4 linked regions of the Schizosaccharomyces pombe genome follow. Changing the gene in region 2 together with the main gene of any one other region gives a genetic interaction. Each region holds a gene or a part of one and is shown on either strand. Other genes may lie near its edges.

Region 1 (6,308 bases), 1.5 Mb from region 2:
ACTTAAGAGTCAAATGGCATCTACCACAGTAAAGGCGGTCCTTGTGGTTGGCCATGAAGGTGGACGCACCACAGTTGGGACACTCACGACGAAGACGCTTAACGCTTCCATCATCCTCAACCTTGTAGTATTTGAGGACGGCGAGCTCAACCTTCTTGTGCTTGTGCTTGATCTTCTTGGGAGTAGTGTAAGTCTTCTTTTTACGCTTCTTACCACCACCACGAAGACGCAAAACGAGGTGAAGAGTGGACTCCTTTTGGATGTTATAATCAGACAAAGTACGTCCGTCCTCGAGTTGCTTGCCAGCAAAGATCAAACGTTGTTGATCAGGAGGAATTCCTTCCTTATCTTGGATTTTGCTCTTGACATTGTCAATAGTGTCAGAGGATTCAACCTCAAGGGTAATGGTCTTACCCGTAAGGGTTTTTACAAAGATCTGCATCGTCAGCAAAGTATTGCCTCTTCCTCGCGGATGGAGGAAAATATTGATGTTGCATTGTGATATATGGATGCGTGACTGGTTTTAACTCACGTAGGTTAGGGTGTAACGCAAGTTTCTCGTACTGAGAATTAACGTTTGCGTTAATTATATAACACAATTTAACATTTCTCACAATTTTTAAAATCGTAATGCTGAAATGAAAATCCTGATTCCCTTGTATTAATATCGACAGTTTGTCACTAATTGATGTCAATTATATCCTATTGAATGATTCATATATGGTGATTTAGTGTAGTAAAGGCTTGTAAACCTGTGATTTTGTGTTTGCATAAGCTACGACGAGTTTTCGTATTTTTTGGTTCTTTGCAAATAGAAATGAATTATCTTTTCTCTTGCCGACAAAATTTCCTCCAATGACCAGCAATAATAGTTAAAACAATCATTGGTTTCTCTGTTTAAGTCATAGTGATTAATTTGTTGAATTATTATTATCATAATAAATGCTTGCTTGGCAGCATACTACAACCACTGTTTTCCAATGAAATACTTCGCATACTATAGTAATTAAATACAAGTTTTCCCTAGAAATACCAACTTAAACATATGTTGACTAAACATCGGTGCGAGTGAAAGCAAACACTAATTCTTACTCATGTATCCAAGTTGTTTGTCAGGTTTGGGGAAACTAGTTTTACCATTTCAGCCGTTCAACGATACGAACAACTTCATAGTTGTATTTCCATTTCACAAAGATTAATCTGTAGATTTTAGATGATGCAGAGTTATACACAATACTAGGGTGATGAATAAATATACAAAAGACAGATACAAGTTGATAAATTATCAAAATTGTCACAGCATTAGTTCATGTACGATGCTTGAATTTGAATTTATATAAAAGCAAATTAAAAACAATAATATTAGTAAAATTAAAAAATCCCAAAAAAAAACCAAACATAACTCATTATAATGCAATGCGATGCAAGTTGTACAGCTGTCATCATTAGTGCTGTCTGCGATCTACGCCGCCAACACATATATTTCTCTGCTTATGCCGATTTAAGGCATCAAGTCGGTTAAATCTCTTTAAGCATTCACATACATATGGCCTGCCATTTTCGTGAATCCTCAGATGACGCTTAAGATCGTGGTGACGAACAAAGCCAGCTTTGCATAAGTCACAGCGATACGGACGGTCGCTCAGATGTGTTTGAATATGCGATTCAACATTATATTTGCGAGCAATACGTTTATTGCACCCGTTGTACAAACAGACGTACTTTCCATCTGCTTCAGGGCCGCAATATAAGCTAGCCATTGTCTCCGGAGGAATTCTACAAATCCTAGTTGATTGCTTGCGAGTTTTGCATCTATGATCGTATGAAATTCTGACCGGAGGTTTGGAATCATGCTCGGTGACTTGAGGAGTAATTGATAAATCAGCAGATTCAATTTTTGGAGCTAATTGTTCTTCTTCCTTGACAGTGATACAAGGTTCAGGTTTCTTGGTAACTATGCAAGATTCATAAGGTGCACTTAATGCAAACTGCTGTGTCAAAGTGTTGTTGATATTTGCGTTCGATATGTCAAGTCCATGATCGCAAACGGATGAGAATTTTTCAAATTCAGAAACGTATTCAGCAGGTGATGATAACTTTGCAAACGCTTTCTGGTTGTCAGTATGCCTGCATACATCCAAATGGGAAAACGAAGAATCTAGAGCAAAGGAGGGCTTTTGAGGCGAAGTGGGCTCTAGCTTTACAAGTTGGGCAAATGGGGATACAGGGGAGATATTAGGTGCAGTCTCTGGACTCGATAAGTCTACAGGATGTGCCGGACTTGGTTGGGATATTTGAAAGTTCAATTCTTCAAATGAAGGCGCACCGTTTATCTCATCTAATCCAGGGGGAGAGGATGGGAGGAACATAAACTCATTAAATGATTCCAATTGCGAAGAGCTGGGAAGAACGGAAGAGGCAGGACCCGAGGTTTCAGGTATACTTGAGGAAAGGTAGTCGAAATTTTCGAGGTGATCTTTGTTGGAGCAAGTTTCCGTCTTTATTTCTGGTATGTCAAACTCAGGAAACGAAAGGACTTGTTGTTGAGAGTCCAGCTCATCAATCCAATTTGATGCATCATAACCAATTTCGGAAAAGGCCTGTTGAGAGTTGGTCAAGGAAAATGCGTCATTGTTATTAAAATTTTGCTCGGTATGGATTTGTGATACGCAAGTTAAAGGCGAGGAAGGGGGTGATAAGGAAGCATCAAAGGAGGATGCATACGAGTGAGAGTCGGGGAGCGATATTTGGTTCGATAAAAAGTATGCAGAATTCGCTTCCAACAAAGGGTTAAACGGTGTTTTTAGAACAGAACTATAGTCAAACTGATCTTGAAAGTTCTGAAGATGAGAAGGCGGTGAAGGGATAACAGCTTGATTTAAAGACACCTCATTTTCAAAGGGAGCGAAGGAGGAAAAAGAAGTATGCTTGCTATCGCCAAAAGTTTCATAATCCCTTTGGTACGAATGATTACAAGCTGGACTCTCTTCTTGTCGAAATGATTCAAACGACTTTTGCGAAGAAGATGATAAATATGAAAGCGACATTGTCTTGTTTACTTAGGATAGCGAGTATCTAGTGCAATGCGTAGAGAAATCAAGGAGAGAACGATGAGAGAAATGACTCTTGAAAAGAGTGCTTGATAACTTGAAGTGAGATGAAAGTGTGGCTCAAAGCCAGTCTAACCCAGTAGATGATTGAACTAATCACTCTTCGATTTTTTTTTGTTTGTTACAGCAATGTTTGGTGCGCTGGCTATTTGTTTATATCAAATAGCTACTCCGTTGCTATGACGACAATTGTTGAATTTTATGCTTCACTTTACCGCAAAACAAGTCACTATTTGTTTACATTGCATGGATTACCGAACCATATCACAACAACGCAATACAAGTGTAAACACAGACCCAGGGATTGTTTATTTACCTTTTGTTGCCAAAGGGACAAATCAACTATTTTTTGAATTAAACCAGTAAAAGGTTTGATTGAAAGACACTACCACTAATAAACAGGATAATCACGGCTATGAAAATGTCTACGCTTCAACAACTGGATCATGGATGATATTAGAAAACATAGATTAAGTATGACAAGCCAAAAAAAAACGGTAACCAACCTGAAAAAACGACAACGACGTTGAGATCAAAAACCTTAAGGTATTAGTATTAGTATAGAGCTAGCAAGAGAAAAAATGCCATGGAAAAGTTTTTAAATGCAATGAATAAGTTACTTACAACACTGACAATCAAAAGGGCAATCCGGTGTACCTCCACCTTGGCCAATGTTTAATTCCTCCTCGTCATATACAAGAAACCCTTCCTCGGTACGCTTTCCTAAAACACAAAACGTTAATACAATTACTGATGATAAGGAGAAAAGTGCCGTTGCTAGGTAAGTATTGCATCGTTCGGCAAACATTCCCGTAAACAGAATAGCGAATAAGGTTCAATACCACACAATAGAGCTTAATGATTTGGAGTCTCCACCAACACTAAACATCATTGTGAAATGTATCTCCCTAGAAAAACGTAATCTAGCTCTAGCAGTATATAATAAATAAATAAGTATATAGCACAGTTCGAAGTTTCTCAATCTTTTAGACAATAAATATGAATTTGAGGTCAAAGAATTGACAAACAACGCGGATGCCAAACATGAACGAATGCAATCATTAACCAAGTAGCGAGAACGTATGTAAGGATGAACTATCAAACGGCAAAAAGTGTCTTACTTCCTGAGGCTCCCTTTGGATCTAAAAATAAATCGTCTTGGTTATTAGTAGGTTTTGGACGACTTGGAGTAGATTTTGTCTTGGCTCCTTTCTTAGGGGCTTTCGCCTCCGACTTTGAGTCATTTGACTTTTCATTTGCAGGGTTTGCCTTTTTAGAAGCAAAAATGTCGTCGATTTCCATCTTTTAAATACTCGTAGAGAGGAGTTTGCCAAGTCAATGGCAATTGTATAATTGAGTAGAGAGACAGTTTGTTGTAGCTTGCAAACTTGCTAGAAATTCTTTTGCGGTACCGTGCTTCATAAAATAAGAATTCTCTAAAATGCTTAAATCTGCATAACGTATTCTCTCGTATTACGGTAAAGAATTTGTAATATTTATAAGAATGATTCTTCAGAAGAAACTTGTACCAGCATTAAGGCATGAGATTGATCGATTCCTTTTTTTTCCTTTGGTTCTTTATTATGTTTAAAATTGTTTAATTTTGTTTAGAAGCTGTATCACCTCTGTCATCGGTATTTCGAAACGGCAATAAAATGTAGACAATTCTTTGGCCAAGCTTTCTTTATAAAAGCATATTTAGGTCAACTCTATCCTAATACCATAAATTAACACTTTTTGTCTTCATTTAAGAAGCGAATTATTGCTGTATCAAATTAACAAATGCAAAATCTCATTGCTTAATAAACGAAATACTTTAGTAATTAAGCATAAGATAAAAATAAAGTGAATACTATTTGACAATGAAAATCAGCTCAAAACCTCTGTCAATTCTTTTTCAGCCTAGAAACCACCTTAGAGAAATAAGGCAAAACATTTGAATACAAATATACAAAACACAAATTATTAGTGGTAGAACAATTCAAAAAATTCGAAACCTCTTCTTCAGTTGATCAATTCATAATTAGAAATACAATTCCTTTTACAAAGTTTACTTCCTTACTCTGCAAAAGCGCCTCTATACATAGCAAACCGCAACAAAATTAAATACCTATATTACCTAAATTAAAAACATAACTTTTTTTTGACCAACAAAATGCCATGCTTAAATTGGCGAGACGTAAAAATGCCGTGCATTTCAATTTAACCAATGGAAACCTTTTCTCCTTCAGACTTTCACTCTTTTAGGACCGGACTCAAGCTCTTCATCATTTTCAGTGCTGCGCTTCTCCCCCAAAGGCTGAGTATTGGCTGAACTGCCAGAAACAATACGACCATACTGGCGTGCACGTTCATGAACACGCTTAGATGGTTCATCCTGTTTCATGAAACGATACCATTCATCAGGAGCTCGACGAAAAAGCTCGACCTTCCAGTTTGAGCAAACTTTTTTGCCATAGAAATCAAATTTGACGTCGTCACCACCTTCAGCCAACTCACGAACAATTCTTGTACGATAAAGCGGCAATGCCCTTGTGGCCTTCCACGCTTTATCTACAATATGCGAACCAGGAGCAGAAACAGCTAATGTAGCAAATGATCCGGAAAGGATATTGAGAAATTTTTTAAGAAATACCGGGTTTAAGTCTGATAAATCAAGAATTCCTTCTATCAAGTGAGAGGATACTGTTTCCAGACAATATTCCAAAATCTGCTCTTTTGAGAGATCTAAAACGCTATCTAATAATAACTGAATATGTTGTTTCTCACAGTGAAGCATTTCTTCTAACAGTTGAGCACCCAGTAAATTATTAACAAGTTTACGCTCTTTGTTTTCTGGGTTGGCTTTATCACGTTTATGCTTCGATCGGAGCAAGCATGGAATAATGTTGGCATCCTTTCCACTATTTGTTACGCTTGTCTGAATCATTGAAAATATGTCATCTTGATAACAATGTAAATGGTTACTCTTCTCAAGTAATGTCCTTAACACTGGAAGAAATGACTTCCTAATGATGTTGTCTGTATTCTTCTTTAATTCATCAATGACAGAACCAATCTCCTTCCTTCCCAACCTTCTTATGTAACGTTGCATTATAAAATTGGCTATAGGATGAACACAAAGCCGATAAAAACGTCCTTCAAAGACGGCATAAAATCTGAGTAGATGAGAGGCTGACATGTTTTCAACGATGACCT
Region 2 (6,401 bases):
TCCGACTCTTCTGAATTTAAGCCCGATAGCTTACAACACGAAAAATTGGTGAAGAAATGCAATCAACTTCGTCTTCAAAAGCTCATTAATTCTAGCGAACTTGCACAGATTGATTTGGAGTTGTCCAAACTCTATTCTCGAAGAAGGCAAGTTCTTGAACGCCTTAGCAAGATCGAGGAACAGAATTTAAAGTATACTTCCAAGCTGGCTTCTGTTGAGAAACTGATGTTAGATTCGGATGCTCAAGATTTGTATAGCTCATATTCTCATGATTTAATTCCTTCACAAATTGAAGCGGGTAAAAATGGAGCTAACCCCGATGTTTTTGATGATACACACGACAAGTATACAGATAATTTATCTGCTAGGGCTATCTCTCCAAGAGCTCCAAGGCCATCTACGGCTAGTGAAGTGGTATCAGATTACTTTGAACAGAATTCCGCTTTTTCTAAAGCACCAGAGAATACTGAATCATCTGTGAATCAAAATTATATAGTTGGAAATCTCGTAAAGCAGTTTCAAGCTCATTCTGAATATATTACGAGTCTTGATTTTTCCCATCCTTTTGGAACTTTAGCTACGGCCTCGACTGACAAAACTGTGAAAGTTTGGGATATGGCGGGTGTTGTATACCTGGGTTCATTGAAAGGTCATTCTGATTATGTTTCTTGTCTGGCGATTCAAGACTCCTTTATTGCTACTGGCTCTATGGATACAACCGTGCGGTTATGGAATTTAGATAATGATGTACTTCATAAGGATAATCCTGTTGAAGAGAGCCTTAATTCTCCTCCCGATCAACCTGTTGACAATGCCACAAATGTTTTAACATCTCACACTGCCCCTGTCACTGCATTAGCATTATCTAGTGATGATGTGCTTATAACCGGTGCCGATGATAAAACTGTTCGACAGTGGGATATCGTTACGGGGCGTTGTATTCAAACTTTGGACTTTGTGTGGGCGGAAACTCATGATACATCTACTAGTCAAATTTTGGTCAGTGACACTTACAAACAAGAACCTTTCATCAGAGCTTTAGACTGCTTAGATGCTGCTGTGGCTAGTGGGACTGTCGATGGACTTATTCGCATCTGGGATTTGCGAATCGGTCTTCCTGTGAGAAGTTTCATTGGGCACACAGCTCCTATTTCTTCTTTGCAATTCGATTCCAACCATTTGTATTCCGGAAGCTATGACAATTCTGTTAGAATATGGGATTTACGAAGTGGCTCGCCAATTAATATTATACCTATGGAGAAAAAAGTGAATTCCTTAAGACTGTATCAAGGTCGTCTTGCTGTAGCATCTGATGAACCAAATGTTAGGATATTTGATACTGTATCTAATCGGAACTGGATTTGTTCAATTCCTTCTCACTCTGATTCCATAGCAGCCGAACCTAACTCAGTACCTACTTCTGTTCAATATAAAGATCGCTTTTTGGTGGATGGAAAGTCTGATGGATCTGTTAGCGTTTTTTCTGCTTAATTTGTATTTTTTATCCACACCTTTATTTATTATACTCTCGTTATTGTGTTGAATCTGGATAACGTTAATTTTAAAATTTTATGTCTTTATGCTTTGGTTAATGGGTATTAACTTCTGTTTGGTTTTTTTATTTATTTATGGACAAATAAAAAGGAACGAGACATTGCGAATAAAAAACTGTGATGTTAATTTTGTTCAAAATATTTAAAAAAATTCTCAAAGCAAATTGTTTGATCACCACCTCCCTTCTGCTTCTTATACTGTAGGTTTAAAATTTAGTAAATAAAAATCTTTTCTAGTTTACATTTTTTTGGTTTTACTAGTATGAAGTACGCAACCTCATTCTGATCTGAGATGTTGTATTTCATTTTGTTGATCCAGTTTACAAAACACGCTCAGCGTGTTTAATGTCAACTACACATAATAAGTATTGAAGAATCTTTTTGAAATTAGCAATTTGAACTCACACAGTGAGTAAAATATGGAAATAACCAAGCTCTTTTTATATTTCAGATTAACTGAATGGTCATTTTATTTTTGAAGCATAAATAGTCATAAATGCTAAAATTTCAAAATTTTACATCTGCAATATATATAGAGAATTAAACAACTGCGTTCATCTGTCGTCAACAGTCTAACAATGTCAGAAAACTGGTAGCGTTACTTTTTAAAACATCGACATAACTTTTAGCATTTTGTATGAGGCTATTTTAAAAACTAAGTAGAGAACATGATAGGTCCAAGCATTCCAAATCACAAAGAATATATTTAACATGTAAGAGTGTTAATACCAAAAAAGTATGTACTGAGGGCAAAAGATAATAAAGAAGTCATAAGTCATAACAAGATAAAATAAGAAAGTTATAAGAAAAGATGTGTATAATTAATGCTTATTCTCAAGCTTTTTCCAAGTGTTGAAAGCACGTACAGCGTTATAGGCAGTACGGAACGTTTTTCTTGCATTGAAATTTTCCCGGACGTTTGGAAGCAAATTGGAGGTTGCGGGACGCTTTTCAGACAGGAAGGGGTGCTTCAACGCATCAGCAGCAGTTAAACGTTTCGAAGGGTCGTTTTCCAAACATTTTTTAATAAAGTCCTTGGCCGTTTCTGAAATGCCAGACCAGCAAGGATCGTTAAAAGTGTACTCGTTAGCTAAAATTGCTTCTATAACTTCAACCTGAGAAGGTCGAGCAAATGGAGTATAACCACTGAGTAAAAAATAAGTTATAACGCCAATAGCCCACATATCTCTATAAACAGTATTAGTCAAGATACATAACTTCTGAATTAAAATGGTAGTTGATCAACTTACACAGGTTTTCCATATCCGGTTCGACGAAAGACTTCGGGTGCCATGTACTCTGGTGTCCCACATGCCGTCATGAGCATATAGTATTGAGAATCCTCATAAAAGTGGGACAATCCAAAATCGGCAATTAACAAATCTGAATTCGGATCTTTAGAGCGATAAAGTAAATTTTCTGGCTTCAAATCTCGATGTACAATTCCATTGTCATGCAAGTACTTAACTGCTGATGTGGTAGTACGCATTAAAGCAGCAGCATCGGCCTCATAAAATGAACCTTTGGCACATATTCTATCAAAAAGTTCACCACCGGTGGCCAGTTCAGTGATTAAGTACACTGTTTCAAGGGTTAGTGAACAAAACACATCACAATAACATTTGATTCATCAAATCGAAATCGGAGACATACGATTATTCACAGTTTCAAAAAAATCAACCAAGTGTAAGATATTAGGATGTTCATAAGAAACACGTTTTAGAATTGCAATTTCATTCTTCACCTATACCACCAAAAACATGTTAGTAAACGTAAATAAGGATGCTGTAAGTACTTAAGTCTTTACTTACAAAGTCTTGTTTCTTCTCCATCATCTTTTTATTCATAATCTTAGCCGCATACATTCTATGAAAATTTGGTCAGCAAACAACTCGAATTTAAAATATACTTACTTGTTAGTTTCGATATGAACGGCTTCACGAACCGTCGCATATGTTCCGCCTCCCAAAACCCGACCGACACGATATTTGCAAGGTAATAGTTGTTTCTGATCCACCGTAGCCTTTGGAGCACCGTCTTTCAAGGCCGAGGTGTTTGGTTTGTATGTTTGCTGCATAGCTGTAAAGAATCAATAGATGAATTATTCCAATGCCAACGAAGGTAAACGTAAAAGGTTTCTCTTAATGTAAATTATTGTATTGTTAGATGGTGCCATAAACAATTCTGTACTACAGAATTCTTTTATGAAACCAAAAATGTAAAGGTATGTAAATGAAAAAAATCCCGTAGAAACAATAAAGAAAATATTATTTGCGCGAAGCAGGCTGTTGAGTTAAACGGTGGTTCAATAACAGAATGATCTAAGCAGCGCAATGACTGTCCACCAACTTATGACAATAAGTGCTTAGCCTCAACTTGTAAATATGGAAAAATTTGGAAAAGGTATATTGAAATCCTCGGATTTAACAGGATATTGATATTGAATGTACCCGAATAGTATTGATGAAGATAACAAGAAAACCAGCGTCTGATAAATACCGTCCAACTGATTTGCAATTGCAAAACCAGTAGTCTGCAGTATAGTCATAAATCCTGGTAATTCCCAATCGGTTCAGTAATTTCCGTACCTATTTTCCTCTTCTAAGAGAAAACAAGATCAGAAAGATCAAAATTACAATTAGCGTATTGAAACCACCAAACACTGTAACAATGCAACACAATTATTTAAAGAATTGAATTTAATTATACAATCCTTAAAAAATCGCAGTTTTATGAGCAATTGGCAAAACGCGAACTGCTTGAAATTTCGCTGATATTACCAGCTCATGAGAGTTAAGTAGATATAACAAGCCATCATGGCGAATATTGGTCACTAACGTATACCGTAATAATGCGCTATCCCATGCATTTTAGTTTGTTTAAATACAGTAAGCGTATTAACAACATAGAACAGAATACGAAAAGGTAACCACGTAACAAAGATTCATACTGTAACAAAAATTGTGAAAAACAGACTGAGTGTAAATTGAGCTAATAAAATCGATTTTGAATGATTACTTTTATAATCTTTTCCATCTTGGAAGAGGTATTTAGTTATTTGAGAAAGAACCGAACTACCTTCTGAAAGGAATACCATACATTTTACAATAGCAGTGAGTATGGTATGTTAATTTCTCATATGCTTCTTGTATGATAGTTAGTCGAAATGTATTGGAGATAATGTTGAAGAAGTAAATAGTAAAAAATGCGCATGCATGCTTGACTCCATTTGTTCTACAGTACTTTACCCTTGCTATGATATAAATTCAAAGTATCGGTTTAAACAGACGAAACCAATAAGGGTTTAAACTCACATGGGTTTTTGAAGGAAGATGAGTCTACAATGTAAACTATTCAACTCTTAAATAACACTTTTTGATAAATCGCGATATAGCCAAAAACTAGAAGAACCCTAAGTAACTTCTTCTTATTAAGGTATAAAACAAGTTTTCTACATTGCGAATAACGAATAGAGATGAATGCATTAATTCTAACATTGAAAATAATATAGTCGATCCTTTGGATTCCAAATAAATTATGAAAACCATTTAAATCATTAATTAAAAATAAATTATGAGATGGATGCAATAAAAACCTGAAATTAATCAATAACCTTGAACCATCTTTGTAGGTGCCTTCCCTAAAAAGAAATCTATTAATGGAAAATTGCTCAACAGCACTAACGGAATTAAACCTGCAAGCATACCAAATTCTGAGCTAGACTCAATGTAACCCAATTTCTTCATCTCCGACAGTGCAGCCACCTCAAGTTTTTCGCTCACAGCTTGTTTATCCCTACAGCCTAAAAACATGGTTATACTCTTTTCTGTCTCGAAAGAAGGGGTCAAGGTTGCAGGTTGAATAAGTTCATGAAGACAACTCAAAAGTGAGTTTAAATTTCCAAATTTTACTACATTAATCCTCGACCGAACACTATCTGTTACATCAGATAATCTCAAATCGAGTTTCGTATGTGTTTGAGAAGGAATAAAGGTCTGAGAATGCTGGTCTGTTGTAAATCCGTTTGGCTTAGTTATTTTTCGAATGTTTTTTCGAAGTTTCGGCCATACCTTAAAAGCTGAGTCATTATGCTTGCTTAACAGCACTTCACTTGTGTAAACGACATTAGGCAATGACGTCGCATAATCATCTTTATAGAATTCATCATATGTGTAAATATAGGCTATACTCGTCTCTTCATACAAAAACTTAAGTAAAAGCTCCAATGCAATTAAATCATTTTCAGTACCCAAATATATGAGAATTACAACCTTGCTTCTTTCATATGTAGAGCCTTTTTCTTTCACACTAATCTCAACCTGATCAAAGGACTTCTTGTCCTTTTCTAATTGTTCAAAATCATTCTTCGGTGAACCATACTCAGTACTACGTATGATAGGCCTAATTTTTTTCACTGATAAATTGTGAGGATTACGTGTGAAAAATACTCCAACTGGGATCCGGGCCATCTTTATTAAAGGAATCAACTCATCCAAAGATTTAAAAGAATCACCCAAAGCTAAGCGGATGGAACTCAAAGACAGAGGAGAAGAAGAGCTCTCATTCTCAATTGTTTTATAATCCTTCAAATAGGGCATGATCAAAATGTTTGAAGAAGACTTCTTCAACGTCTCAAGAACCACATTGTAATAACCAGTTCCACTCACTAGCAAGGCATTGCTTTCGTACTCAAATTTTTTTATTTTTACAAACGTTTCAAACAATCCCATTAGTGCTTCATTTTCAACCTTATTATCGACCTGTGAGGCCCTCAATAGATTTGAAGTACGAGAATCAACAAAAAGTGTCCAAATACTATGAATAATTATTTGAGGCAGATGTAGACAG
Region 3 (6,494 bases), 2.7 Mb from region 2:
GATCATGTCAGGTGCGGTTGAAGTAGATGGCATTGATATCAACTCTCTAGATTTGGAAGTCCTTCGTCAACGTATTAGTTTAATTCCACAGGATCCTGTGCTAATATCCGGTACGGTCCGAAGCAATCTTGATCCTTTTGAGGAGTATGGAGACGGAGAACTAAATGAAATACTTAAGACTGCTTCCTGTGAATCTTTAGTGCAAGCTTCAAACAAAAATTCTCTTGACGCTTTTGCGATACATCTTGACACACCGGTTGATTCAGGAGGTGTCAATTTTTCTTCCGGCCAAAGGCAAATTCTAGCCCTTGCACGGGCGTTAGTCCGAAAATCTCGTATTGTTATTTTGGATGAGAGCACAGCGTCGGTAGATGATACTACTGATCGAAGAATTCAGCAAATGCTTCGTGCAGCATTTAAACATGCTACCGTTTTGTGCATTGCCCATCGAATTAAAACAATTGTAGATTATGATAAAGTCTTAGTATTGGATTCTGGTAAAACGGTGGAATTCGGATCCCCCAAGTCACTATATACTCAACGACGGGCGTTTTGGAAAATGTGCAAGGAAAGTCATATTAGTCTTTGAATATTTTTTGCTGACTTTCAATACATTCCATTTGTAGAGCAGCTTTAAACTGATCGTGAGCACCCATCATTTTCTTTTTTTCTTTTTTTTTTAGAGCATACTAGAAACATTTAAACGAGATCGAGCAGAAATCGGTAATAACAAGCCAAACTCTATAAACAAATGATTTAACATTTTCGCTGTAAATAAATTGTCATTACTGAATACCTAAGTAAGGCTAGCATATAATAAGTTTATATTTAATATGCATTTCAAAACTGAAATGCGAAAGAGTATCGACTAACTTCAGCACTTTAAACGGAAAGAGTGCCCGCAAGCTGTTCATTATAACGTAACCCGTAGATTGGGTATTTACTCAAGACCTCTTTGGCCTCTTTAAATTGTTCAGGAGACAAAGATTTATTCAGTGCATTGAGATTGCTCTTTGTACGAGAAACAGATGTGGAGCCAGGAATAGGAATGACCAGACCGTTTCCAGACGCCATTATAAAAAGAAGTGAAAACTCGGGCATAGTCATACCAAACTTTTTAGCAAGTTGCTCGACAGCTTGGAGGAATGGAAGATTTTTAGCAAAAACATCAGGGCTAAATCTGTCCAAATATTCTAAGAATGGGAAAGATTTAGCAAATTCTTTAAGGTCTTCGACAGTCTTAATGCGACCAGTCAAAAGGCCACGACAGAAAGGAGAGTATGCAATAATAGGGATAGATAACTTCCTACAAATATCCATAATACCGTTTGTCTCGATATCACGAGAAAACAAGGAGTATTCGACTTCGACTGCAGCAATGGGGACCACAGCGTGAGCACGTTTGATAGTTTCAGCAGAAACTTCGCTAAGGCCGACACATGAAATCTTTCCAGAGTCCACAAACCCCTTCAATGTCTTCATGGTTGTCTCAATGGGAACATTTGGGTCGACTCGAGCACATTGGAAGAGATCTAGCTTTTTGGTCCCACGTAAATGAGCTATCACATTTTCAACACTCTTTGACACGAAGTCCGGATTTCCATCAGGAACTAGTGTTTTAAAATCCAAACCACCTTTGACAGATAAAAACACCTTATTAGCGTTTTCGGGATATTTTTCAAAATATCTAGCTAATAAATCTAAATTAGAGGTGGGAGGGTCGACACCATAAAATTCACCCGCATCCCAATAATTGGAGCCTTGGGATAAGGCATAATTCATTACTTCAAAGGCTTCTTCATCTGGAGTTTGCTTGGGCTTCCAGGTTAAACCCATAAGACCAAAGCCAATAGGTCCGACTTTAAATCCGCTAACGATAGGCATCTTTTCACAACTTTAATTTAAAAATGCTTAACTCTGTAAATATCAAATGTGTATTCTCAATTTTAAGCGAATAATATTGGAAAAACTAAGCTGCTAGGTATGCAAAGCTTGCTATTTATATGATAACGGTACCGTATGCTGTAAGAATTTCCTAATGGTTCTTTGAGACGATGCTTACTAATTAGTTCTACTGTTAATAATAATGAATCAAACGTAAGTAACACCTACTCTTCGTACCGTAACTAGCTTAAACAGCTTTGTTCTTTATTTTTGGCTTTGCTTTTATAAATTTACTTCTACATTTTTAAACATTGGATCACACGTGTAACATACATTATTGAAATAGACTTGATAGTAAGTATTATGAATTGAACTATGAATGGAAATATTGGAATTAAAAGTAATTACACCAAAACTGAGAACTTACATATTATGTTATTTGAAAATTCGAGAATTTATTAAATGAAAGAGAAGGGAAAATGCTCATGAACTTCAGAATCGCCATTTTTGTTACAATACCAAGGAACATTTATTTATTTACACATTTTTGTTTAATAGTGAGAAGAGGTGTGCTACAGAAATGAAATTTGAGGAAGTATTCAATTAGACTCTCATTTAAAACATATATGAGAATTGATTTTAAACGGTTTCTAACAGCGTTCATGTCGTTCTTTCTCCTATTTTTTGCTCTTGAATTCTCTTTTTCTTACTGACAAAATCGTTAAGATACGCAAATTTGCTATATTAACCTGAACGTCATAATTTGAGCATCTCCAATGGCATTGTTATTACAGATTAACAATAGGTTCGGTATATTGCACTTAGATTATATAGGGTGCAAGGCAGAAGGATGCACTAGTAGTACTCACCTTCTTAAACCCTACAAGGATAGAATTCGTCTTTTCACCGTTATTTCCGATATCTACTACAACATAAAATAATTGTATAAATCCAAGGCTATACTCTTATATCGGTCTGGAAAAGTATCGGCATAGTAAGTATTAAGGAAAATCAATGCCTCCTATACGCCAGGCCGTCTCTTTAGCAGAGAAAAAGGCAATTCGAGATTATTATAACCAATCTGCCCATAGAATTCCTCAAAAGGAAGTGACAGAATGGTTTCGAAAAACGTACAATAAAGATTTATCGCAGTCAACGATTTCCGAAATTCTTTCACCCAAATACAGTTATTTAGATGATGGAAGTGTAAGACTCGGTGATATTAAAAAAATTCGAGCTCCAAAGTTTCCTTTGCTTGACAATGCCGTGTACGAATGGTTGCAACAAAGAGAAGTTGAAGGCCTTCCTATATCAGGGGATATGATCAAACAAGCTGCTACTCGATTTTGGTCGAAAATTCCGGCGTATGCTTCTCTCCCATTACCAGACTTTAGCAATGGTTGGTTGGATAAATTTAGAAGAAGACATTATATCCAGCAAAGTGCGGTAAATCAGGCATTGGAATCCATCAAATTTGAGGTGTTTAGAGAATACCCAGTTCATATTCAAGAGTTTATACGGCCTTATGCCCAAAAAGATATATTTTGCGTTGGAGGGACAAGCCTTTTTTGGAAACTCACTCCTAATAAACAAAACTTGGATTATCAGGAAATCCAGGGAATGAAGCGTGGAAAAGCCAAAGTGTCTTTAATTATGTGTTGCAATGCCGATGGGTCAGAACGACTACCTTTATGGATCGTGGGTTATGCACAAAACCCAAGATCTTTTGAGCAGTGCGGTATTTTCCCTAAAAGTATGAACTTCGAATGGAAGTGGAATGGCCGAGCTTCAATTTCACCAATTATTATGGAGGAATGGCTTCGGTGGTTTGACACACGTATGCAAGGACGCAAGGTCCTATTGATGTTAGAGAGCAATGACACATATCAGTTCGGTGTTGAAAGTGTTCGACGGTTTAAAGGTGGTTTTCAGAACACCTCTGTATTTCGAATTCCAGAAAAAACATTGGACATTAAGTCTCCGTTTGAACAAGGAATAGTCGATACATTTAAAGCGAATTATCGAAGATACTGGTTGCAATACTCCCTTAATCAAATCAACATATTGAGAGATCCTCTAAAAGCCGTTAATGTTTTAAAAGCCATTCGGTGGATGCTTTGGTCTTGGAATTTTGGGGTGAGTGAAAAGACTATTCAAGCATCTTTTCTCCGATCAGGATTATTGGGTCCACATTCCGAGGCCGAAGGACAAGGAATGGAGTCGTATCAAAAGGCCATTATGGAAATTGGTAATCTGATTTCAAGCAAGGGCAGCGAAGCTGTTAAGCAAATTAATGAATACATTAGACCTTCTGAAGAAGATGAAACCAAATTACATCAAGATGCTGTGGATACCGTTGCTGCAGAGTTTCTGGAGGAGAGACGCTTTGAGTCGGATGAGGAAGAAGACGTGGAGCCTCAAATATCAAACGTGGAGGCTGCCATGGCCTTTGAAGTCTTAATAAAATATTTTGAGCAACACGAAAATGGGGATCCCTCGTTTGTTTTAGATTTGTACCGCAGACAAAGAGTGATTGCCCCTAATAATTTAATAGCGTGATCCACTTACGGAAATAAATTGAGAGCGAGTCTTACTAAACCCAATAAGTGCTTCACGTTGGATGATTTCAATCTCCAAAGCAAACAAATTTCCAAAAAAAAAATATAGTGAAACAAAAGTCGACACTCGTACAAAATTACTTTTTTTAATTGAGATTAATGTTTCTGCTTACTTTTGGTTAACTATGGCGGGCGGCTTTGAACCCTTCTCGTTTAATATTCTTTTAAATTCACTTAGTGTGTGTACATATACCTGAACAACAAAACATTTTATAGGATTCTAATGATATTATGAATTATTAATGATTTTTTTTGTATAAACTGTGTCACATTGTGTTTTCCTTTGTTGTATGCAAGACAGAGATATAGAGAAGCAGTGAGAACAATTAATAAATAAAAATCAGTTAGCGCGCAAATGAAAAATAAAGCATTAAGCAATGATGCTTTAATAATTTAATTTAATTTAATTTAATTTAAATGCTATAGATGATGAATGATCATATGGTTTTGTGAGTGAGATGCTGTTTGAGTTGTTGCGCTGGTAAACCACTATTGGAAATGCTAGAAAAATGGGTAGGGGTTTTGATATGACTTTAAGTCCGAATCTGAAAACCGAACCATTAATTTTAATAGCTAGGTAAAAAAGCCACACACAATCAGAGATTTTACCAAAACAAGACATAAAAAAATCACATTATGGATATGAGGCAACTGGAGTGTGGAATTTAAGGAAATATGTTTATATAATTATGAGTTTTCATTGAGCTACAAAACAGAAGATATATTTCATTGAATAATTTCTGTAGTGATGACCCACTTTAAAAAAAAAAAAATTTGAAAGTAGAGTAAACAAAATGGAATATGCCATTTTTAAAATACACACTAGAATGATCCACACTAGCTATGGTGATCTTAAAGTATATATACATATCTTCTTAAATCTTGAAAGTTTTGCTTATCAGATCTTTAACGCGCTCCAGTACGAAAAAATGGCATGCTTAAAACAACAATACAATAATGTGATGAGTAATAATATGGGTTATTAAAAAAGTAAATTGGAGAAACAAAAAAATTAAAACATTGGAAGAGTGTATAGTTCTCACGGTTTTGCGTTTTATGTGTTTGAATTTACAAATTTCAGTGATCTTCGCTATCTTGACAAGTTGCACAATGGAAATTGGCACTGCGACCATGAGTAAAATAGTTTGAATTTCATTTCCAAATTTAGTTGCGATGTTTGCGAACAAATTACTGAGTGATTTGAATGTAGAGCAAAGATGATTAGTTAGAAGAAACAGATAGAGGGAAAAAAGAGAAGAGTTAATAATTGAAATAAAATAAAAATAAAAAAAGGGAAATAAGAAAGCAAAAAAAAAAATTTTATTAGCTCTTGAAAATGTGGATGAAGCACTTCCAAATAGTAAAATTTGATTAGGTAAACAAACCGAAAAGAATAAAATGAATGCCACCGAAAAAAAAAATGTATGCAAAAAAAAGAACAACAAATGGAAACGAAAAAGATTTTCTAAAGCAATATCAAGAAAAATTTTTTAATTCATTCTAGTCTTCCTTAATCAGCGTCGCATTTCGCATATTCAATACTTTCTTTCATTTTCCTTTGTTGCATGCTTTATACCATAGCAGGTTATGCACTAATCACATGGACTATAAACGAAGACAAATGTCCGAAGGTGGTCAAAGTGCGAACCGCTTAACGAACCTTAACACAACAGTGTCAAGAGAAAGCTTCGCATGTTGAAAATTTTAAAAAGACGCAGAAAGGATACTTTTGCAGTAGCAGCAATAGGTCGACCAAAATACTGGCTCATAGAAAGTAGTAGTATTATATTTATGATGCTAAAGAGGTTGCTAATTAGGATGCAAGCGATGGGAATATCAAAGAAATGTAATAAAGAGTAGTAGGGACAAACACTCAAGAAATAGAATTTTATTTTATTTTTTTATATTTTATTTTTCTTTAGTAACAAATGGAACTCTGGTTCGTTAAGTGAAAACAAAAAAAAAAGACACGTTGGCATAAAATCGACTCAC
Region 4 (6,002 bases), on a different chromosome or scaffold from region 2:
CAGAAAGCTTTGGTGCCACAAAAGTCGCTCACACTTCGTTAGAAGGAAATGCAGCTTCTCATAAGAAAGTGGAAGAGAACATGCAGCAACCGGTTACCAAAAAGCAGAAAAAATACAGAATGGTTAACGAAGAAGCTCATACCGGTCCGACTATAATCATACCGTCAGATAATAATGAAAAAGTAACTACATTACCTGCAGGTCATGTACCCAGTGAAGAGAAAGGAAAATTTATTAACTTAGCAATGCATGAATTACAAAATGAAGTTTCTATTTTAAGGTCGTCAGTAAATCACCGTGAGGTTGATGAAGCGATCGACAATATTTTAAGGTACACAAATTCAACAGAACAACAATTCCTTGAAGCTATGGAATCTACGGGTGGAAGAGTACGAATTGCCATTGCTAAACTACTTTCAAAACAAACTTCTTAAATTGCCGAGCATCTCTGCCCAAATTCTATTTCTCTAAAGAGACCTAAACTTGTACAATATTACGAATCTTTTTATGCATAATTCATGATTTTATTATATAAATATTTTATATTGAACTTAACAAAATTCTTTTTGTTTCTGGATTTAGTAGGTGTGAATATTTCAATTCTGATGAGCCGATTATATTTGCTTTGATGTAGCAGAGTAAATCAACCTTTTTAGAAAATTCACTTATTATCTTTGGAAAAGTAGCTAAACTTCCATTTTTATAACTTCCTTTACATTTTAACTTGTGAATTTGTCCAATCATCATATGCAAATGCTTGGATCAAATTTCTAGCGATGGATAGTTTAGGGGGAAATAAAATTGGAGCAGGTCCATCCTTGGCATCCCATTCCAAAGAACGAAGAACTTCCTCTCGGGAAAAAAAACGCACATCCTCTAATTCTAAGTCTTTATCTCTCTGGATTTTAGCATTTTTTCGGGCAATTCCAAAACAAGCCAACATTAAACTTTGAGGAAAAGGCCAGGGTTGACTAGCATAATATAAAACCTTTTCTACGTCAACTCCAGATTCTTCATAGGTTTCACGGACAACGGCCTCTTCCAAGCTTTCCCCTGGCTCCAGAAAGCCTGCCAGACATGCATACAGTCCTTTCGGATGGCGCAAAGCTCTTCCAAGTAAAATGTGTTGCATATCATGAGACAATATAACCATTATTACGCATGGATCTGTCCGAGGATACTGGTAATTATTAATACCCTTCTTTGAAGGACAGTTTGAGTCGTCGTTCAATAAAACGTCACTGCAGACCAATTTTGTACCGCCCATAGTAGGTATGTTGCGTTTTCCACAACCCGGGCAAAATCTGTACCTTGAAATCCAGTCAAGAATAGAGCGTGCAAAAGCACAAGCACCAGAATCCGATGCGCTCAATTGATATTGTTCGGTGAAGATAGAGCGAAGATTAACGAAAGTACCTCCATTGTCTCGTATCGATTGCTGAAGTTCATCGATGCCAGTAATGTCAATGGCAAAAACGTTGTGTTGACTCCAATTATCTGTTGGTCCATTTCTTTCTTCGTTGCCCATGTAGACAAGGACAGGTAAACTTTCTCCTTTGGAAAATCGTTCAGCAATTTGTTTATCAGTGTGCTCAAAAGGGGAGAACGTGAAATATTTGGATATCTGAGGATATGAAAGAGTGACCAATTTATCGTCCTTTACGAGTAGAGCCGGATTTAAGTCACAAAAAGGAAGAAAGCGAGTGGTATGATCATAAAAGGCTTTATTTAAAAATTCTCGATTAGACCTAAGAAACGAAAGCCTATTTAATGAGCTTCCTGCGAAGAACTGAGAAGGGGCAGTCGGAAGCCTTGAAAAACGTTAGAAAACTCATTTTTTTAAGATTATTATATCAAAAATTGATTTTATGTGTTACATTGCACATGTATTAGCAAGGGTTGAGCGGTACGTTCCATGAGCATGCAAAACAGATGATATGAATTATCAAGTTTGAAGTAGCTTTAAATAGAACTAACAATTAACTACTTACTCAAAATGTCGAGCTATTTTGAAACCCTGCATACTTAAACTTGATTTCTGAAAGACGAAAAGAATATTAAACCTAACCAATTATTAAAACAGAATTTTGCAAATCTCTCGAATAAATTCTACAATTGTTTAACTGTTAAAATACGCAGAATAGAAAATGAAAGATGGAAATGAAGAACAGAGAGGACCAGAAGGAGGGTTATTTATGCACCAGCGTAATGGTAATGGTACAATTTATGAGTGAACTAAAAGTCGAACCCAAGTTGCAAGTAAAAATCTAATAAAATGATGTAAACGAACTCTCAGCTGGGAAAACCTTAAAGTTCCAAATGAAAAGGGATACTGAATATGAAAAAGTCTCCGTTAAATACGATTGCCATACAACTTCTCAAATGCCATGAAGTATTTAACGAATTTCGTTAAAAAAATAATTGTAAACATATTGGTATGTGTTTTCGCAATTATTAACGCCTTGGTGAGTCATAAAAGTATCATTGGAATAAAAATAGATTTTGTTTGTTTGTTTTTTTGGTTAATTCCTAAATGGACAGTTACGGGAATTGCTTTGAGTTGTTTTCGTTATGTTGACGATTAATTAACTACAAAGTTCTCACGTGTCAGTGTAACAATGTTACCTAGACTTTTAGGTACCTATTTATTTAAAATTGGGTCTATGTTTATTTTACAAGCTTGAATCAAGTAAATATATATTTTCTAATCATATGAATACTAAAAAAATTTTTACAAAGGAACCCAGCAAAACTATCAAATGGAGCCAAAGTAGCTTATTTATTTAGTATGAATGTGATACGCAACGCGACGTGTCGCGCGTTTAATTTACTGGCTTAATACGCGAGGCGAGGCTTTTGTTTACAAACAATACTAGGTGAATATGAGAAAATATTTGAGTAAACAAACAAAATCAAATTGTATATATATCCAGGATACTCCTCCAAACTTCCACAGAAAAAAAGATAGGTTTATCTTTTTACTTCTAGAGGAAAACCTGCATCTTGCTTACCGAGGCCATTGCTGAATATTAAAGCCAGACATAAGTAGGATTAACCAACAGGTGAATTCATCAGCCTCCCAAGGAATATATATACATACTTCTTCTTCCTAAAAATCTTTCCGAGTCAATCCGGAAGAGTATGGACTTCTATTCAGTGAAGTCTCAGCCGTTTGTTCGATCTCCTCTAGTCGACCAAAATCCCAGTATACAAAATATAAACGAAGAAGTAAAGAGAGATATTCAAAATCCTCTTAGCTATAAAACAGAAACTTCGGACAAAGAACTGTGTCAAACTGCAGCTTGCGCAACTTCATGCTCCGACTGGTACCCTCAACAACAAACGCACATGCCTCATCAAAATGCCTTTGACTCTGCTAAAGCCACAGCAAAGATGGCTCTCCCACCCACTGCTTTTTCAAACTACTGTGTAAAACCTTCCCTAACGCGAAACAAGGATATACCAAGAACCAGCATTCGAGTTTCCAAACTTCGTTACTGGCAAAGAGATTATCGATTGGCGTTTCCCAACTTTATATTTTACTTTGACAACGTTGATGAGGAAATCAAGCGTCGTGTTACGCAAAAGATTAATAATCTTGGAGCCGTAAGTAGTTCATGCAAGAACTTGCGCAGATCAAAACTAACACATATATAGAAAGTAGCAACATTATTTACTTTTGAAGTTACACATTTCATTACCACCAGGACTACCGACCCAGAAATGTGCCAGCCGAATGATGTACTTTACCTTTCGAAAACTGCCAATATGAAAATTTGGCTCCTGGACAGTAAGTCTTCTTAATATATCAGTGTAACCTTCGCTAACTTTCTTAGAACTATTGAACAGAATCCTCTTTACATTACTCAACTCTGATAGCCTGGTTAATACCTCAGCTTCGTGCTTGCAATCTCTCCTAGACGGTGAAAAAGTGTATGGTACATCAGACAAAGACTTTTACGTGCCAAGCAAAAACGTCGAGTACTTTCGTGAATACTTCCTCTGCATTAGAGATTTATCACAATACTATAAGCCAATTGCAGTACGAGAATGGGAGAAAACATTGGATTCTGGAGAGATCTTATGGCCAAGTCTTGCTATAACCGCACAAGGAAGATGTCCATTTAATACTGGTAGAAGAAGGGAGTTAAAAATCACAAAACATAACCATCCAGCTCACGAAATCAGAAAACAGCTCTTAAGTTGCACTAATCAAACTAACCAAAATAACGTTGTTAAAAATTCAGCGAGTGTGTTGGTGCGTCAAATCATGGGGGACTATAATATCACAGAATCAGCAGTTGATGGTGCAAAACAAATGCCGACAGAGTTTCCAAAGCCAGAAAACCTCTTACCGGTAGAGAAACGCGCCGCAATGTCTCCACTTAACCTTCTTGAACCTCGTTTAATAAACAAACAAAACACCTTGGCTAACCAAAGTCCTCGACAACCACCTAATGCCTTCGATGCAGATCCTCTAGCTCACAAGAAGGTGAAAATCGAAACAAAATCAGGATATTGTGAAAACTGCTGTGAGAGATACAAGGACTTGGAAAGGGTAAGTTAAACCAATCATAGCAAAAACAGCACTAACACATCGATAGCATTTGGGCGGAAAACATCATAGAAGATTTGCAGAGAAAGATGAAAATTTCCAGGGTTTAGATGATTTGTTTTTGCTAATCCGACGCCCAATTCGGACAAATTAACGTTAGTTCAAGTTTTAAGGATGTCTCAAAAATTCCAGAAAGCAAGTTCAAACATTCAAATAAACCGTAAAATCAATATATCCTTTGTCCAAATGAAAAATTCAAAATAATCTGCTAAAAGGGAAGAGAAAATTAACAATATAATGATGTGTTGTAGCATTCTTTTCTTAAACCAAGGTCAGGCTTAAGCCTATGATTGTAACAAACAATGCAAGTAAAGCTCCAAACATTATCGAGTTTAAATCAAAATAGATTTAAAATAAGTTAGACTGGTTTTCCAAGCGTGGAAAGCTCATTGGTGATACACTCTTTCAAAAGTTCAGATTTGATTTGCATCATTCCTTCCTTTGCGTTTTCTGTTCCAACAATCCCTAATAATAATGGGTCTTTGGAGTAAAGTTTATCTTCAGCCCCATCAATTGAAATGGCGGCTATTAATAATTTCCCCCTTTCAAACTCAATTATTGTTTCAAAAAGTACATCTCTTTGATGAGCAATCACGTCGTCTGTAGACTCCGCGACCAAAGGGCTAGGGTTGGTTGCAGTATAAAGTGAATACATGTTGCCTGCTAAAGCCGCAATAGATCTAACCCTTTTAGCTAAATCCAGACGTTTTAAACCATCTTTAGGATCTTCAAAAGAAACATAAGCTAGCAGCGAGCCAGTAGTGGTAAAAACCCTAGTTTGTTAATACCTCAGAATATTTCAACAATAAACTTATATATCTAAGCTCCAAAATAGTACAGGTGTACCCACTGGATTTGAAGTAAGAATGAACTTCAAATTCACTAAATGCTTACATGATAGACGGTACAGTTTCCTCAACTGCCTGTTTCATCAACGACGACAACTTCTTTGGCTTAATCATCTTCGAATTTAAACTTAGATAGCAGTAAAGGTAGCAATATGTATTTTAAAGTCCAATCGGCAATAACGATTTAACCTGTTTTGAATGGTGGTTATAAGTAGTTTGTAAGCTACGCAGTTTGGTATCTGATTTAAGGATACGTAGAACTGCGGTGAGTTTTCCTTGTGGTCTATTATATTACAATACACAGGTTGTATAAGTAGCAACTGAGTATAGGTATTGTATTAACTGGGTTATAATGTTACCTATCACTAATATAGCTCATAACTGAACTGAGGAACGAGGTTCAGTTGTAACGCTATTTATAATATTTCTAAATAGTTGTTATCAACGGGTATCTATGTATATAGAAGGATAGTTACCCGTGATTATCAATAAACGGATCTTAGCTAGTATTCCAACATATGACATATAGTGATACGCAA

Evidence for each region.
Region 1: mutations in cmk1 (region 2) and ace2 together harm fitness less than expected from each alone (positive genetic interaction), as found in Schizosaccharomyces pombe (one large-scale study listed by BioGRID).
Region 3: mutations in cmk1 (region 2) and cbh1 together harm fitness more than expected from each alone (negative genetic interaction), as found in Schizosaccharomyces pombe (one large-scale study listed by BioGRID).
Region 4: mutations in cmk1 (region 2) and SPOM_SPBC1778.03C together harm fitness less than expected from each alone (positive genetic interaction), as found in Schizosaccharomyces pombe (one large-scale study listed by BioGRID).

What each region holds. Positions count from the first base shown.
Region 1 is NC_003424.3:3,237,921-3,244,228, forward strand, and holds ace2 (DNA-binding transcription factor Ace2), read right to left. Parts: upstream 3,234-6,308; 5' UTR 3,048-3,233; coding exon 1,446-3,047; 3' UTR 1,312-1,445; downstream 1-1,311. Other genes in the region: ubi3 (ubiquitin-40S ribosomal protein S31 fusion protein), read right to left, coding at 1-442; SPOM_SPAC6G9.01C (uncharacterized protein), read right to left, coding at 3,643-3,650, 3,735-3,833, 4,232-4,412; RNA-binding protein Nop9, read right to left, coding at 5,338-6,308. UniProt on the Schizosaccharomyces pombe protein: Regulates the transcription of genes required for cell separation.
Region 2 is NC_003424.3:1,735,458-1,741,858, forward strand, and holds cmk1 (calcium/calmodulin-dependent protein kinase Cmk1), read right to left. Parts: upstream 3,844-6,401; 5' UTR 3,631-3,843; coding exon 3,467-3,630; exon of another isoform or gene 3,420-3,466; coding exon 3,365-3,419; exon of another isoform or gene 3,298-3,364; coding exon 3,207-3,297; exon of another isoform or gene 3,135-3,206; coding exon 2,804-3,134; intron 2,742-2,803; coding exon 2,375-2,741; 3' UTR 1,996-2,374; downstream 1-1,995. Other genes in the region: mdv1 (CCR4-Not complex subunit Caf4/Mdv1), read left to right, coding at 1-1,491; potassium ion/proton antiporter Kha1, read right to left, coding at 5,159-6,401. UniProt on the Schizosaccharomyces pombe protein: Important in cell cycle regulation.
Region 3 is NC_003424.3:4,457,174-4,463,667, reverse strand, and holds cbh1 (CENP-B protein 1), read left to right. Parts: upstream 1-2,789; 5' UTR 2,790-2,898; coding exon 2,899-4,443; 3' UTR 4,444-4,748; downstream 4,749-6,494. Other genes in the region: abc1 (ABC transmembrane transporter Abc1/Ybt1), read left to right, coding at 1-589; pyridoxal reductase Plr1, read right to left, coding at 883-1,884. UniProt on the Schizosaccharomyces pombe protein: Binds to centromeric K-type repeat DNA and ARS3002 DNA. The CBH-binding consensus sequence is Py-Pu-A-T-A-T-Py-Pu-T-A.
Region 4 is NC_003423.3:3,100,143-3,106,144, forward strand, and holds SPOM_SPBC1778.03C (NADH pyrophosphatase), read right to left. Parts: upstream 2,222-6,002; 5' UTR 2,024-2,221; coding exon 1,992-2,023; intron 1,812-1,991; coding exon 713-1,811; 3' UTR 501-712; downstream 1-500. Other genes in the region: telomere-binding protein Rap1, read left to right, coding at 1-434; Spo4-Spo6 kinase complex regulatory subunit Spo6, read left to right, coding at 3,142-3,606, 3,658-3,790, 3,837-4,558, 4,605-4,709; guanyl-nucleotide exchange factor Lam2, read right to left, coding at 4,974-5,388, 5,510-5,577. UniProt on the Schizosaccharomyces pombe protein: mRNA decapping enzyme that specifically removes the nicotinamide adenine dinucleotide (NAD) cap from a subset of mRNAs by hydrolyzing the diphosphate linkage to produce nicotinamide mononucleotide (NMN) and 5' monophosphate mRNA.